Linked DNA regions of Arabidopsis thaliana. The main gene of each other region encodes a partner of the protein of the gene in region 3 in a complex. Each region holds a gene or a part of one and is shown on either strand. Other genes may lie near its edges.

Region 1 (4,554 bases), on a different chromosome or scaffold from region 3:
GTAGACAAGAATCAATAACATATGTGTTAGGACTCATGTATACGGATGACAAGACACAAAGGAGAATCAAAACAATGATTTCTAAAAGCCAGAGAACTTACCTCGAATACTCCATGGCCAACGAACTGCCCGGTCCAACATAACAGCTGAGATGCTAACCCAACCTGAGTAAAAAGACAATTAAATTGTTACAGTATCTACATAACAGAGAGAGTTGGCGTCTTGGTGAGTATTAACTGTTTTCCCCTTGCTGTTGAATACATATAACAAACTAATCAAATGATTCAGACTGAAGATACATATAAACTAATCAAATGATTCACAACACAGAAGATACATAAAAAAGCTCCTAAGTTACAGATGTCTCAAATACTATGGAAGAAAAACCAAACTTTAGTTAAACAAGTGATGTAGATTCTAATTATCTGAGACCATCCAAATGTTGGTGGTCAAGAACAACACTTGTTTCCGTCCAAGCACACATCAAATCCTCTTAACCAATGAGTCAACAACACTAAAAACATGACAAGTCTCCGGACCAAAGAATCAGAACCGTGCAAAGGTGGACAATTGCAGAACAAACTGCAATAACTACTAATCATGAATGTTCAAAGCTAGAGACATGATATTAGTACTGCTGTCTCAACGTTAACAGCTAATGAAGGGACCCATAGACAACAGATAGAGAGGACTAATGATATAAATAAATCTATTTCTTCTTCCCCGAGCATAACCAATGATATAAACGAACTTTCAAGTCAAAGCATAGAAAACAATGAACAATAAATGCATGAACCACACTCACATCATATAAATATACACATAGAGCAACACATGGATACACATAGTCATATACCCTCATAAACATGCTTCTACGCAATTATTTTCTCCAAAAATGAAGTTTTTTCAAAAACCCTAAATTGAAATTAGAGAAAAAAAATCTAACCTTTAAGGCAAGAGAAGATCCTAGTCGAACAGCAAGAAAACTGGAACCAACCCAGCAAGAGAAACACATAAGAGCAGCTACAAATCCAGATTTCTTATCCAAACCGATATAGAACAGAGCATAAATCAAGGCGAATATAAACCCAACGTTAAATCGCAAAACGCCGTCGAGGGTCAACGATTGAGAAAACCCTAATTGAGAGGGGTCGAAAATTGGGGTCGACGAGTGGAGGAGAAGTAAAACTGAGAAGAAGATTGGCCAAACGAAGATGATGTGGATTAGAATGTTGATCGGATTGCTATGGTAAGCACCGTAGAAGGCGAAGTGTTTCTCGAGATCGAACAATCCCATTATGCGACTCATGGATAAAAAATTCGTTGAGGAAGAGGTGTTTTTATGAGGAGAAGATCGGTGGAAATTGGATAATAGTCACCAAACAGAGGAGATTAAAGATATACACGGGAAGAAGACGAAAGTGGAAAGTTTGATTAGCAATTTCCCGAAAATGATGCTAACGTGCGCTTTTTAATAGCTAACATGCGCTTTTTAAAGCGATAGAAGTTGACTTGGCCGGAGATTTTCTTCCGACTTTTGACAAAATACTAGTCGCTAAGAAGAGTAGACGTGTTATTGTGATTGCTAACATGCGCGAATAAAAGCTGGTTTAGATGGATATACATCATTGAAAGTTTGGCAAATAGAACATACACTATTCAACGAATGATGTATTTGGGATGATTGCTAACATGCGCGCATAGGAAGTTGAATTAGATGGAAATATCATTAAAAGTTTGGCAATAGTTGCCAACGTACGCTATTCAACAAATGATGTATTTGGGAAGAGACATAAGCGGAAAGTTTGAATTTCACCAACCAAAGATTTATTAGCAATTTTAGTGTGGTTACTAACTTGCACGTCTAGAGGAGTGAACGTGTTTAGTGATTGCTAACCTGCGCGAATGGAAAGTTTGTTGGACGGGTAAAATACGAAAGTTTGTAGTTGAATTTTGCTGGAAATATCTTTACCACTCTTTAAGGCAAATAGTTGTTCCCAACCTGAGCGTTTTAGAAGGCTAAAATGTGTACTGTGATTGTCTAAATTGGGCTTTTAAAAGACAAAAAAAGTGTTATGCGATGTGATTGCTAACGTACGTTATTTTTTTATTTTGTTTATCACAAAAGTGAAGAGTGGACGATACCAATTCCCTTATCCACACATTTTCTGCCTCAAAAAATCTAATCTTAAAGATTAAAATAAATGAAAAAATAAAAAAGATTACACCAACATTTTTTTTTTTTCTTCTCCATTGCCACCATCAAGAAGTAACAATGGCTGAAGCTTTCACAAGTTTCACCTTCACAAATCTTCATATTCCTTCTTCCTACAATCACTCGGTACATATTATTTTATATTCTTACCAAAAATATTTCATTACGAAAAAAAGTTTAAGAATTGTGTATTGTGTTGTAGCCGAAGCAGAATTCAGGACCGAATCATGGATATTGGCTATCTGTAAGTAATTTTCTCTAACTAAGACTAAAATTAGAAAAAAAATCTCCATATTCTTGTGAATTTACGTCTTAGAATTTGAAAAATTAGAAGAATGTTAATGAGAAGAGGGAAAGGAATTTGATGAGAGGAAGCTTATGTGTAAGAAAGGCATTGCCACATGATTTGCCATTAATGGCTGTGATGGTTCAACAAATAGAAGGAATGCGTGATATCATTACAGAGAAACACGTGTGGCATCTAAGTGATAAAGCTATCAAGAATGTTTGTAAGTTAAACACTTGGGGTTTCTTGAGAGATTTTATTTTCTTTCTTAGACTTTTTTTTCTTCTTTTTCTTATGTTTTGATATTGATCTTGATATGGCAGATATGTTCTACATCATGTTCACTTGTTGGGGATGTTTGTACTTCGGTTCAGCAAAAGTATGAAAACAACAACTCAAACTGAATCTTTTGATACATTTGCTGCATTGGGATCTTAATAGTACTTTGTGATATTGGATCAATACAGGATCCATTCTACGACTCAGAGGAGTACCGTGGAGATGGAGGGGATGGAACTGGATATTGGGTCTATGAAACTGTATGTATCTCTCCCTTTCTAATACTATTAGGAAAGAAAGAAAAAAACTTAGAAATGCATACAAATTATAACTAGGGATGTTGCAATGGACCGACCAACCCGCTGTGGTCTTACTAGACCCTGTGGACCAGTTCAGATCTAGTTTGACCTCAGACTATCCCACCTTGGTCTTAGTAGGCCATGTAGACCTGTTCAGAGCCGGTTTTGAGTACTCCTCCATGTGTCTCAGCATGCGATAAACCTCCCTAAACAAAGAAAAATAGGTGGCTTTTAGGTTAGCGTTTACCGTTGGTATATATGCACCCAAAAATATGAATCCACAACCTTGATCATCTAAACGAAAGTCACAATCTGATAGATGGTAGGTAACATTGATCCATCCTATTGATAGATCAATCATGCTTAGTAAGTTTGAGCCGGGTTGGGCTTGATATAATAATTCAAACGTTAACAGATCTGATGGTAGGTAACATTGATCCTAAGTTGGGTCGGGCTGGGCTTGCTCGGGCCATTGACCTTTGGTATATCATCACAGATTCACAATGTGTACAACTATTATAAGATTGGATAGAGTTGTTATTGTGTTTTGGGTTATATGATGCAGCAAGAAGACATAGAAGAGAAAGCAAGAGCGGAGCTATGGCGTGAAGAACTTATCGAAGAAATTGAACAGAAGGTTGGTGGCTTAAGAGAGCTTGAAGAAGCTGTTACTAAGTAGAAAACTAACTTGTGAATCATAAACCACTTTACATACACATTATATATTTTCTTATATCAGTCATGCAACATTATATATACTCTCTAGCTTCCATATATATAATATATGTTATGTACTTCTTTGTTGTCTTGTGTTCTGAATCATTGAACGATCATGTTAGGAGCAATTGTCTCCTTCAGAAATTTATTGTTGACGACATCCGATGTCTTAAAAATATAAATAATTATGTTTGGTAAACTATCTTAATTTGCTTTTCTTGATTTCTTCGGTCGCAAGTTGGTCAGAGTGAATATTTATTATTTTTAAGTATAAAAAATTTAGTCAATTGGGGCTAAATTAATTGGTCGTATAGACTGGAAAGTGAGTCTGATGAGGAACAATTAGCGGGAAATACGCTTCTGCACGATTCTACCTGACAAAAACCAAAACTAATCAATCTTTAAAAACAAAAAATAAGTTAGCAGAGGTGAAGAAGGAGAGCTTGTCATGTCTTTGTCAGTAACCTTCGTGCTTCCATGTTTCAAAGCCTCTTCGAGCTTGTAATTGTAAACCACACGTGTGGTTTATTGTTTTTGTTTTCTTTTCAAATTTAAGTTTAATTTTCAGATATTTCTTTTTTTTGTGTGTGTGTTAGGAACACATGACAGGAGATATGATGTAACATTTTTATTTAAACAAAAAAAAGATCTGCATCACTGCATGTAGTGTATTTTGTCGTGTGTCAATTAATTCTTATAGTTGTACAATTTTAATTCTGGCCCAAACATGATTGATGACTTGTTAATGACACATATTT
Region 2 (3,688 bases), on a different chromosome or scaffold from region 3:
TGAAAAGGGTTTAGCTTATCTAATGGTGACAATTAATACAAATTGGAATCTAAAGAAATAGAATTTATTGGTAATTAGACAGAAAGATTAGAGATTTAGGGTTTATGAGCTTACTTGTAGTGCCATTGTAAGTGACAGTGTCGGTAGCAAAGGTGATAGTTGAGCTTTTGCGTATCTTTCTTCCTCCATTGATGAAAGCAGAGAAAGGGAGATGATGGGTTTGAGAATTCTTAGGCGGGAAAGACAGTAATTTATCAGCAGAGGAGAAAAAGATTGATGTTTCCAGTAAATTCGCCATTTTTTCTCCCTCACAAAGTTCGTCTTGGTGACGAACAACGAGAAACACCAGAGGATAAGAAGAACAGGGTTTTAATTGTAAATAATTAGTAAACGTTGACAAATTCAAAAACTTAATATAACTTTTTGGGTAAAAATGTTAAAACTAACAAGTTTTGCATCAGTTTGAAATCTTTTTAAAAAGAGGCAAGGAGTAAGGAACATGAATGAGCAAGACCAGAATTGAGTTTCTTTGACATTACATATTCACATGACCTTAAGACCTTACATTAACAAGAAAAGACAAAGAAACTTAAGATTGATTATTACAAAAATAATTATAGCATATGTCATGATATATACATATGTTACTTTGTGATAGACAAAATTAAAAAGCATACTACAATATATTTATATTCCCATTACATGATTATAAAATAGAGTTTGTTTCACTAAGCGTCCTCTTGAGGCTGACCATCTCCACCACCTTCAATGTTACTGGTATTGAATTGTACACGAGGCTTTCCCATACTGAAATTAAGAACTCTTGCATCCATATTGTATTGTATTTCTCCATCGAACAACATCTTCCTTATGTAATGTTCTACGTCCGATCCTATCAATCTCAATGTGTACTCCGTTAATGGTGCTCCCTGTTCAAAAACAATATTATAAGGTCTTCTTGAAATGAGTCTAACTTTTAGATGAATGTTTCGTTCGTTTATTGTTATCGTTACCTCGTAGTGATCGACGAGTTCTTGGAAATAAGAATAGACCTTGTTACAGCTTTCATCATCCCACACAAATTCTTCAGTAGGATCAAGAATCAAAGTGAGTTTATCCATTTGTGACTGGTCAAACTCACAAGTCTCTGGATCAATATAAGCAGCGTAGATCCTAACGTGACGTGTGACACTGCTTAGCCACTGACCACCAAAATCGCCCATACCCTTGCTCTTCACGTTCAGCTGTTTCTCCACTGGTCTCAATGGTGTTGGCTGCTTCTTCATCTTCTCTGTTGATTGCTCTTCTTTGAGTGTCTCTGTTTCTTGTACTTCAAGAGTACTGTCTTGTTCCGGATTTGTCACCACGAACGCCTTTTGTGTTGTTCTTGGTCGGATTTGAGCAACCATAGAAGGATGTAATAGAGAAAGCTTGGTGCAGGCAGTGTAAGAGAATGCTGCAACCATTTTTCTGTCTAAGAAATGAAAAAAAAAAAACAGAACAAGTTTTGAGATGTTGTCCGGTTACAGAACCATATTCTTGTAAAGAGATTTGATGAGGTTGAGAAATGACCACAGCTTGTGGATGAGCCTCTCCCAACTTCTAGTTTCTTATTTATCCCTTTCTCGTTTTGTTGGTATTTTGTGGTTACTCTTAAGTCACTTGTGAGCTAAAGACAATCTTCTTTAGGGAATTCACTGTTTTGTTGTATGTGTTTTTTTTGTCTAAGTATATTTCTTTTTGATGTATAGAGAGAAAATTTAACAGATCATTATTTTTCGCATAGCGTGAAAATAGAGTTTTACATGTATCATCTATACATTCCATGGGAATTCAAAGCATAACAGAAAACACTTGTGGGGTGAAACAGTTTAGTTCTTGTACTTCATGGTTTCTTTCTCAAACCCAATTGTTGGGAACTGCTTAGCGAATTCCTCGACTTCATGGCGCAGTTTCGCAATCTCGGATTGGATGGTTGAAGAGGATTCCATTGCTGACACGAAATCCTTCAACTTGGTTCCTGGTTTTAGAAACATAACAAATGAGTTCAATCATTGTATATAAGAACGGAAAGCATAGCATCGTGATCAGAGAAGTAAAAACCTTGAGCTTCAGATTTGACTTTGAGAGCTATTGTCACAGCTTTGTCGAAGTATTCAGCTACTTTGGCAAAGTCTTCCTCAACAAAGCCTCTGGAAGTGAGAGCAGGAGTACCTGAAAATAACAATGGCAGAGGATATCAAGAAGAACTCCATTCGAATACCAAAAAGAAAAATGGTTAAATGTGATTTTTACCCATTCTGATTCCACCAGGAACCATGGCAGAAACATCTCCAGGAACAGTGTTTTTGTTGGATGCAATGTGAACAGCTTCCAACACTTTCTCAACTCTAGATCCATCAATTCCCTGCAAACAAAATCGAATAAAAAATGAGTTTTAACTAAGAAATATAAAAGAAGATTATATACAAAAAAAGATCAAGTGACCTTGGGCTTTAGATTCACTAGAACCAGATGGTTGTCAGTTCCACCAGAAACAAGTTCATATCCTCTCTCCATTAGAGTCTGCACGAAACAACAATGTAGAGATATAATCAAAGTAGATACTACGCCATATGTGTTTTTCTTTCCTTCACGGGATTAGTACCTGAGCAAACTTTGCACTGTTACTCAGGACTTGTTCTTGGTATGCTTTGTACTCTGAAGTAGTTGCCTGCATTTTCAAACCATTTGAAGGTTACAGAAACCGCAAATCCAATAAGCAACGTTAGTTCCATTCCGTGCCTCACCGTACCTGTTTCAAAGCAACAGCTAGTCCTGTGATAGTGTGGTTGTGTGGACCACCTTGAAGACCAGGGAAGACAGCTTGGTTGATCTTGTCTTCAAAATCATACAAAACCTTTCAAGACAACAAATGAATGACGTGAAAGATTATACATAAATCTAAAACATTTTGGTTCAAATTTTGCTTCTTTTTCTTTTTTACCTCTTTCCCTTGCTTGTTAATTTCCTTAACACCCTTTCTGAAGAAAATCATGGCTCCACGGGGTCCACGAAGTGACTTGTGAGTTGTGGTGGTTACAACATCAGCATAGTCGAACGGTGAAGGGATTACATTAGCAGCAACCAAACCACTGATGTGTGCCATATCTGCTAGCATTACAGCTTTTTGCTTGTTACAGACCTGGGAAAAGAGTTCGAATCAAAACTCACTACTGATTACAATAATCTGTTCTGTAGTTGGATATGAGACTGAAATTACCTTTCTGATGCGGGCATAGTCATACAATCTAGCATAAGCACTTGCACCAGCAACAATCAATTTTGGCCTGAAAAGAGTAGCACTTTTCTCCATCTGCAAATCAAAATTAAAGACTTATGTATTGTTATGAAGCGGGTTAGTTATAAGTTACTATGATTGCTTAATAGAAGAGTTAAGAACCTGATCGTAGTCGATGTAGCCAGTGCTCTCGTCCAATCTATAGGGCATTGTTTCAAAGAAGATAGACACAGCTGATATCTTCTTGGTGTCAGTCTGATGAGAAATAAGAAGAAAGAAACTGTTATTCATCAGAGTCAGAGAGTTCCGAAATGACATACAAAGTTAACTTGAAGGCACCTGATAACCATGAGAAAGATGACCACCATGAGGAAGATCAAGTGCCATGATTCTTTCATGAGGCTTTAA
Region 3 (3,941 bases):
ATATATTGTTGTTATATGTATTTTTGATAGTGAACAAATATTAACATCTTATAAATAGCTTTATACATGAAAATTAGAAATTGATATTTCGAGTTACAAATGAATCTAACCATAAAAATTGTAAATAATATGGATCTAATTTCATTAACAATACAAAAATAAACATAAATTAGCAAAACTAACAATCAATCTAAATATTTTTTAACAATTTTCAAAACAAACCCACGCGTAGCGTGGGTACTCATCTAGTATCATAGTAAAAACTGGTATGGAACTTACGAATAGTTTGCACAATATTAAAGAAAGTGTCAGAGATACGTTAAAGCATTTTCTTGTAGAGAGACTAGGGATTAGGAGTGGAGCTGGTTTGTCACTTGATGTTCCAACTCGATAGAACTCGAAGGTGTGTTTAGCTCCTCGGACTCTTCCACAATACTGGAACACTATATTGTTGTGTTTGGACCAGGGGATGAAGTTAGCGTGTGGCATACGTCAACCTCAAATTGTATGGTTTATCCACCATTGTATGAACTAATGATGGGTATGGAAACTCGTTGGGTCCATACGAGGTACTTAGATCTTAAAAAAACATATAGTGAAGAACAGAAACCTAACACTACAAGATGAGAATCTAGGTTTTATGGTACTAAAGAAAAATAAGAGAATGAACAATCAATATTATACACATTGTACCCCGTTCATTCATCAATTTTATAAAACAGTTTACATCAAAAGTCATGATTATAACGAGATCACAATCCATTATCTTATCGTGTGGCGATATCATCTTTCTCAATGGTGAAATCCCATACATCACCATATTTGTCATTAAAGTCCCAAATGCTCATTGTGTTGTAGTCATTAATGAGCTTGTCACGAGCTCCTCTCTCCAATTTGTATATCTGAGGCTCGAAGTTGTGTGGCTGGTCAGGTTTATCCATCTCTATTATACAGAACACTACCGTGAATAACGCTGCACCTATGAACAAGTACTCACCCTGCAACACACACACACAAACACTGGTGATTCTTTTTCTTCTCATACTTGGCTTAATTATCTAATCTCTTGTACGTCCTCCACAAAACAAAAGCGATAAAACTAGTAATGATAAATTTTGGAAGCAAGCAAAAGATTTTGAAGTTACCGGAGCATCAAAATACATCCCAAGAGCTATAGCAGGAAGAAACATACAAGAGATCAAACCTGCAGACATAAAAAAACCGCGAGTTTTCAATCAATCTGCGGTACATAAAAAGCACTAAAAAGCGGGTTAAATTCATACCTTGAAACCCATTAGTTTGATCCACAGCAGCAATGTCATCAGCAATTGCTCCCCAAAATGTTCCTAAGAAACATTTCCAAGAAGACTAATCAATCAATCAAACAAAGAAATATTATAGCTCTAAAATCGAAACAGCGACAAGAATCAATAGGAGAAACCAAAATTATACCCTTTTGAACTTCTCCTTCATAGTAAGTATGAGCTCCATCGTAATATCCATACTTGAAATCTTCCTATTAACAAAAGCGCTAACCAATCAGAAACAACTTTCAGCAGAATTATGAATTTAAAATCAATTGAATCTTTACCATTTCAATGCTATTAGTCTCGAATTGACCAATCGGGTCTTCGTTGATGTCTGGTTCGATCTGTGACAATCCAGCCGCTGAGACCAGCTTCGCTAACTTCAATCTCCGGCCGGATTTGCCGCATTTTACGACATTGACGATCTGATCAGAAACCCTAGCTCCGAATTTGGAATCAGTGACCTTTGGAATCGATTTGGGTGAGAGAATCGTGACCGTTGCCATTTTTTCACTCACTTTATCTTTTTCTTGCTCTGTCTCAGAGTTTTGGAGCCATAGAAAGAAAAAACGGTTCTTTTTTTTTTTGTGTGTTCGTTAGCGAAAGAGATTAGTAGTTTACTGGTTACTGTCTGTCATATTACCAAAGTGACTGACAAGTTCGTAAGCGTCACGTGGAACGTATTCATTTGATTGTCTTCTCTAGTTGGTTAGTGAACGCTTACATCGCGTGAAGACTATTGAAACGGCCCAACTTTGTCTTTGCTGAAATCAACAATATATATTAAGCCCAATTTGATTTACGTGACAATTGCTTAATTATTAAATTCAACCCAATATTTTCCTATATCCAGTTAAATGTAAAATTCAGTTCAGGTTAAACATCATAATACTTTGCATATTTTTAATAAGGAAAAAGCAAAACAAAAAAATAATGTATTAGCCGATTTATCGAATGCCTAAACAAGAAAGATCAATAACATTCTATGGACCAATTTGTTGAATCGTACAAAATGGTTTTGTTTGTCTAGACGCCTAAACAACCTGTTTTTAGAACTTTGTAAAGGATCTATGTAGTTGGCTTTGCTATGTTCGAATTAGTAACAAGGTCAAGGCACTTCATTGATTTAGGAGACAATGACATAAGAATCATAAAGAAATGATTCCCAACTGCAACTAATAAAGGCTGGAGTGGTTGGAGAGTAGGGTAAATTAAATGCTTTGCTCTTTCTTTGATTAATGGTTACCAATATCATGTCATGTTCTAGGGTAAAATTATTATAAACCAATTTCTCTATCATTTTACTAATGAATAGAATATCAATTTATCTCAACTACTTAGAATCAAATCTCACCCAAATTTAAACGCAACAAATATAAATTAAGATTTGGGGTTTAGGTGGATGGATTGCTACGAAGTACAAACATTTTTGATGTGGAAACTAGAATAACAAATAAAAGTCGGCCAAATTTTCAACGACAAATACATTAATGTTTTAATTTATGGACTATTGCGGTTAGGTACTTGTTATCCACTTATCTTCTTAATTCATCGAAGATATTAGCTTAATGATTTGTAATCCATGTGACATGCACTTACACATGTAGTGTTTATTGAATTATTATTATTTTTTTGTTGAAAGGTTTAGTGTCTAATGAAATGCAAATATATATTTGATTCCGATAGTTGAAATCAACACTAGTTAAGCTCCTTTTTTCTTCAATATTATCTATAGAAAATATGTACCATAATTTGCTTGAAGAATTTGAGATATCTTACCGATATAACTAAAGGTGCAGAGAGATTAAAAATCATAATTCATTTTGGAAATATTTTTTTTCTAAAGAACTCATTTTGGAACACACTTTTCTACCAACTACGAAAAAAAATTCAAACTGGTTTTGTTTATTTAAGATTTAAGAATGACTTGAAAAGGTAGAATTTGTAAAACCAATGAAGAAGAAAGAATTGTGGAGTGGTAGAGAATGGTTTCTTCAAACTTCTAAGAATAATTGTTGAACGTAATTGCTTCGTTTGGTAGGAATTTTCTTAGCAATTAGAATCAGTTCTATGTTATATAACAAACATATATTTTTGCATTACTTACCACACAAACTCTCCCCAAATTGTGTGTTGACACATACCAAATGATGATATAAATACAAAACTTATCACGCACGCGTTAAAGATTCACACGCATGTTATTGACTTGTGAAAATCTCACAAGTAGTTAGTACACATGAAACGATAGTTTAGTTTTGGGTTATGAACTTATGATATGAGTTAATGGCATCATTTTTTTTTTTTTTTTTTTAACACGAACTTCATTTTTATTACTTAGGAAACGTAGTCTGAAAACAGAGCATTTGAGATACACAATGGGATAAAGCTATGAACTATGTATGAAGACAGAGCATGTTTCTGGTTTTTCGCTAAAATATCAGCAGGTTGATTTGTTGATCTGTGTGACCACGTGAACTTGATTGCGTCAAACTTATTTCTCCAAACTTTGATTTCATGGATCCAATTGATAGCATCAAATCTTGAGCCTCTTCCATTCAGAACATTGACTAGGAGCTTGCAGTCGCCTTCAAGTATTACTTTTCTAAAGCCTCTTATCCATAATTGTTGCAT
Region 4 (4,117 bases), 6.0 Mb from region 3:
AACGTCTCCGTTACTTCGGTGAGCGTGAATTAGTGCAAGACTTCTGGCTTGTCATTGAGCCTAAATTCCTTGACAATTTCCCCAAAATTACTCAAAGACTTCGTCGTCCTGCTGTTGCTCTTGTTTCCACCAATGGCACCTGGATCACGTTAGAACCCTAATCCCAATCTCTCTCTTTTCAAAATTACGTTCCTCACTCCCTCCTTATCTAACGCATTTGTGTTTTGCAATTTGTTGTTTTATGGCAGGTTTATGAAGTTAAGATTGGATCGTGTTCTGTATGATTCCTTTGAAGCTACCTCTCTTGATGAAGCTTTGGCCTCCAATCCTACCACTCTTGAGTTCGATAAGCCTAAAAATTGGGTGGCGCCATACCCCAAGTATGAACCTGGATGGTGGGATACCTTCTTGCCTAAAGTAACCCAAGAATCTGCAGTATAGAACTTTGCTTTTTGTCTTGTTTTTGCATTCTCCAATCTCAGCTTTGTCTTAGTGCTTCAAAGTTTTGTACTACTGAGCTCATTATCCAAGTCTATATCTTTCCTAGTGTAGCTTCTATTACTCAAAGTTGCCTGTTTGATACGTCACTGACTCAAGGTTAAGCATAGAACTAGACAACAAAAAGCATCCTCACATTTAGCTCCATCAAAGTCTTAAGGGTGACCATATTTGTTGATTTCTCACGAGAATATTGGCAAGAACCTTCAGTTAAAGCTCTAGGTATTAAGTTGTCTAGTCACAGGAGGGCAATATGCCTACTCGCTGAAGAACTTTGCAAAAGATCTGAATTTTTTGGTTTTCAAAACGATTTGTGGACTCGGAACATGTTGTTACTCGTTAGGTCTAGTGACTGGAGTTGATCAAAGTAAGTTGCACATGTTTCTGCTGAATCAAGTGTTCTATGTTGTACTTCTGGATTGCTCTGTAGTCTGTATCTAAGCGTGTCCTATCAATCTTACTGATTATACATACTTTTATTTGTGACAAAGCAGAGTCAGAAATTATCTTTAACTACTCCATGGGAATATACTACCAAGTTACAAATACAGATTTTAACTTTTACTATGGGATGAGTATTGCTACACTTGCGGGAGATGCATTCATGAAAAACTATACACTGGTAGCTCCACTTGTGCCATTAAGTTACTCTTGTGCAGCTAGATTTGCAATTTCTGCTAGAGGCTTCCACACGAACTTTCTCCTGCAGGGGAATTGGTAATGGTCATGCAAATTGCAAACATAGATGATTAGTGTGTATGGTAAGGAATGATATACTCACCAGTTGCCACATTCAGCAATAACCCTGACGTTAGGACGAAGAGAGGGAAGTAAAGCGAGAAATTGAAGCTCCGATTTTGAGAGGACCTGAGTGAAATGGAAATATGAGAAAGAGCATGTGGGAGAACAGATCAAATGAGAGAAACTCAAACCTTTGCTTCGAGGACCCATACAACAAGACCCTTGGCACTAGGGGGAAGAGCAGCGAGCCTGTAATCAACTTCTGGTGGATAATACCATCTTGCTATAGGTTGTTTCCCAAGATGAGCCTAAAAGAAGAGAAGATACATGGTTCACACAAAATTATATTGAAACAAGATTAAAGTAGAAGATGGATGAAAGTAGACATACAGGGCAAACAGGGTAGTTCTTGAGAAGGGTAGTCTCAGGGTCACCAAGGCCACGAGCAGAGATGTCAAGAAAGTAGTAGCCCTGCATTTTGAGACGGTTAAGATAACGACCTTCGTAACCACCCTCATGAGGAGCGTAAATGGCGATTGCCTTGTGTTCTTCCACGTCTTGAAGCCATTGTCCGATGTCCGGCTTCACCAAGTCACCTCCGATGTAGTCAGCTATGCTGCTACATTTCACACCAGTGCTTCTTCTTCTCTTACTCCTAGTATTCACCAAAAAGGAACCAACTGTTTTGATCTTCTTCACTTGCGAGGCTTCAAAACACGGTGGTGCCACACGTTGTATACATATTGCACGGCTTCCCATTTCTTTACTAACAATGACTTCTTGTGGAAGTAGCTCATAATAAACATTGCTTGACGACGATGATGATGAAAGAATGGTGGAGAAACGACGACTCACTCCACAAAGGGATAGACATTAATGGGCTTAAAATGTATTGGGCTTTATTTATTAGGCCCATTAAGCACCGCCGAACGTCGTGACATTGTTAGCTAGCTCGCCGGAGCAAAATTCAGTCTGTGAAACTTTCGGAGAAGAAGGGATGTCGAGAGGATCTCGATTCGTTAGGGCTCCTGGGCTCTTACTCTGTCGCGTTAATCTTCAACCTCAACCCAAAATCCCATCTTTTTCCTACAGTCTTCGCTCTGATTATCGTCTTCATAATGGTTTCTCCAATTACATCAGACGTAACTCAATTCGAACATCTCCGGTTATCAATGCCTTCCTCTCAGATAACTCACCATCCCCGTCACCATCACCATCCCCAATTCGTTTTGTTCAACGGAGTTCAATGCTTAATGGTCGTCTCTTCTCGACTTCTACTCCCAATCCAGACCAAACCACCACCAAGACTAAGGAAATCAAGACAACCTCGTCGGATTCAGACTCAGCTATGGCTGACATGAAGATTCTCCGTACGCTTGCTGGCTATTTGTGGATGAGAGACAATCCAGAATTCCGTTTCAGGGTCATCGCTGCTTTGGGTTTTCTCGTGGGTGCTAAGGTCTTGAATGTCCAAGTCCCTTTCCTCTTCAAATTAGCTGTTGATTGGCTTGCTTCAGCTACCGGTACTGGAGCCTCACTTACCACCTTCGCTGCTACAAACCCAACTCTTCTTACTGTTTTTGCTACTCCTGCTGCTGTTCTCATTGGATACGGGATTGCTCGGACGGGTTCTTCTGCTTTTAATGGTAACTCTCAATAGCTCTAGTTTTCTTTAAAAAAGAATGCACTTTTCACTCTTGGTTGTTACTTTTCATCATCGCAGAACTTCGTACTGCTGTGTTCTCTAAGGTAGCTCTCCGAACAATACGATCTGTTTCTAGAAAGGTATGCTGCTGCTGCTCTAAACTATCTTGTCGATAGAGATATTTTAATGTATGAATCAATTTCATATGGTCGCTTTGCAGGTGTTCTCACATTTACATGATCTTGACCTTCGTTACCACCTAAGGTATCTATCTCTCCTCTCTTACTCTTGTGAGTAGTCTCGCTCATTCCATCTTAGATTCATCTCATCATAACTTCCTTACTTAATTGCTTATGTCCAGTCGAGAAACAGGCGGCTTGAACAGGATTATTGATCGTGGTAGCCGTGCAATAAATTTTATCCTCTCAGCTATGGTTTTCAATGTTGTTCCTACCATATTGGAGGTAAAGCTTGTCTGACCACTTGGTGCTTTCTCATGATCATTGTTTTTTTTCTCATTTTGAATAATTGGCAGTTGCTCATTCATATTTGGATTTCACTATTCATTCGTCTCTAAAAACACTCGACGTAATTAATATGTATCTTTCAGATATCTATGGTATCAGGTATACTGGCATACAAGTTTGGAGCTGCTTTTGCCTGGATTACTTCTCTCTCCGTTGGATCATATATCGTTTTCACATTAGCTGTGACACAGGTACTGTGCCTTTTTCGGTATTCTCTTTTCAATGCCAACTATAATGCAATACTTGCGTTATTATCATGATAATCCAGCAATAACTGTGATATTTTATTTAAGAAACTACTATAGTATACATTGTTCTGGAATTCGTTACTAAGCTTCTCTAATCTTAACTGTATCAACTCTTTGGATCGGCTTAAATCATTCTAGTTGTGATATTAGGTTTGATGATGTATAGAAGGATAGTTGTCTTCATACATTCTCTTCAACTTTCATTATCTTGTTACAAATCTTTTTGGTGTCAAACGCTTTGCTCACGGTTTTATTTATTTTATCCAGTGGCGAACCAAGTTTAGAAAGGCTATGAACAAAGCTGATAATGATGCTAGCACAAGGGCCATTGATTCTCTGATAAATTATGAGGTAAATTTTTAATCTTAATCATTTTGCTTGACTTGCAGTTTTGACAGAATTTCTTTTTCGTTTCAGACTGTCAAATATTTTAACAATGAAGGTTATGAGGCTGAAAA

Evidence for each region.
Region 1: PnsB5 (region 3) and PnsB4 share a complex: the UniProt entries of both Arabidopsis thaliana proteins name them as parts of the chloroplast NDH complex.
Region 2: PnsB5 (region 3) and NdhM share a complex: the UniProt entries of both Arabidopsis thaliana proteins name them as parts of the chloroplast NDH complex.
Region 4: PnsB5 (region 3) and NdhN share a complex: the UniProt entries of both Arabidopsis thaliana proteins name them as parts of the chloroplast NDH complex.

What each region holds. Positions count from the first base shown.
Region 1 is NC_003070.9:6,458,350-6,462,903, forward strand, and holds PnsB4 (NDH dependent flow 6), read left to right. Parts: upstream 1-2,053; 5' UTR 2,054-2,275; coding exon 2,276-2,341; intron 2,342-2,417; coding exon 2,418-2,459; intron 2,460-2,494; exon of another isoform or gene 2,495-2,546; coding exon 2,547-2,724; intron 2,725-2,824; coding exon 2,825-2,880; intron 2,881-2,968; coding exon 2,969-3,040; coding exon of another isoform or gene 3,041-3,115; exon of another isoform or gene 3,116-3,494; coding exon of another isoform or gene 3,495-3,500; exon of another isoform or gene 3,501-3,644; coding exon 3,645-3,758; 3' UTR 3,759-3,995; downstream 3,996-4,554. Other genes in the region: AT1G18720 (ER membrane protein, putative (DUF962)), read right to left, coding at 102-164, 947-1,309. UniProt on the Arabidopsis thaliana protein: NDH shuttles electrons from NAD(P)H:plastoquinone, via FMN and iron-sulfur (Fe-S) centers, to quinones in the photosynthetic chain and possibly in a chloroplast respiratory chain.
Region 2 is NC_003075.7:17,830,020-17,833,707, forward strand, and holds NdhM (subunit NDH-M of NAD(P)H:plastoquinone dehydrogenase complex), read right to left. Parts: upstream 1,601-3,688; 5' UTR 1,467-1,600; coding exon 1,014-1,466; intron 930-1,013; coding exon 729-929; 3' UTR 514-728; downstream 1-513. Other genes in the region: AT4G37920 (endoribonuclease E-like protein), read right to left, coding at 115-298; SHM1 (serine transhydroxymethyltransferase 1), read right to left, coding at 1,872-2,020, 2,104-2,214, 2,296-2,407, 2,488-2,565, 2,648-2,713, 2,795-2,899, 2,987-3,184, 3,263-3,355 and 2 more. UniProt on the Arabidopsis thaliana protein: NDH shuttles electrons from NAD(P)H:plastoquinone, via FMN and iron-sulfur (Fe-S) centers, to quinones in the photosynthetic chain and possibly in a chloroplast respiratory chain.
Region 3 is NC_003076.8:17,579,333-17,583,273, forward strand, and holds PnsB5 (NAD(P)H dehydrogenase 18), read right to left. Parts: upstream 1,944-3,941; 5' UTR 1,814-1,943; coding exon 1,592-1,813; intron 1,517-1,591; coding exon 1,453-1,516; intron 1,347-1,452; coding exon 1,284-1,346; intron 1,205-1,283; coding exon 1,146-1,204; intron 999-1,145; coding exon 768-998; 3' UTR 535-767; downstream 1-534. Other genes in the region: AT5G43755 (non-LTR retrolelement reverse transcriptase-like protein), read right to left, coding at 3,645-3,895. UniProt on the Arabidopsis thaliana protein: NDH shuttles electrons from NAD(P)H:plastoquinone, via FMN and iron-sulfur (Fe-S) centers, to quinones in the photosynthetic chain and possibly in a chloroplast respiratory chain.
Region 4 is NC_003076.8:23,559,932-23,564,048, forward strand, and holds NdhN (oxidoreductases, acting on NADH or NADPH, quinone or similar compound as acceptor), read right to left. Parts: upstream 2,071-4,117; 5' UTR 1,999-2,070; coding exon 1,630-1,998; intron 1,548-1,629; coding exon 1,431-1,547; coding exon of another isoform or gene 1,425-1,430; exon of another isoform or gene 1,366-1,424; coding exon 1,280-1,365; intron 1,202-1,279; coding exon 1,144-1,201; 3' UTR 637-1,143; downstream 1-636. Other genes in the region: EMB3143 (YCF54), read left to right, coding at 1-148, 249-441; ABCB25 (ABC transporter of the mitochondrion 3), read left to right, coding at 2,237-2,885, 2,963-3,024, 3,105-3,148, 3,246-3,348, 3,495-3,602, 3,927-4,010, 4,077-4,117. UniProt on the Arabidopsis thaliana protein: NDH shuttles electrons from NAD(P)H:plastoquinone, via FMN and iron-sulfur (Fe-S) centers, to quinones in the photosynthetic chain and possibly in a chloroplast respiratory chain.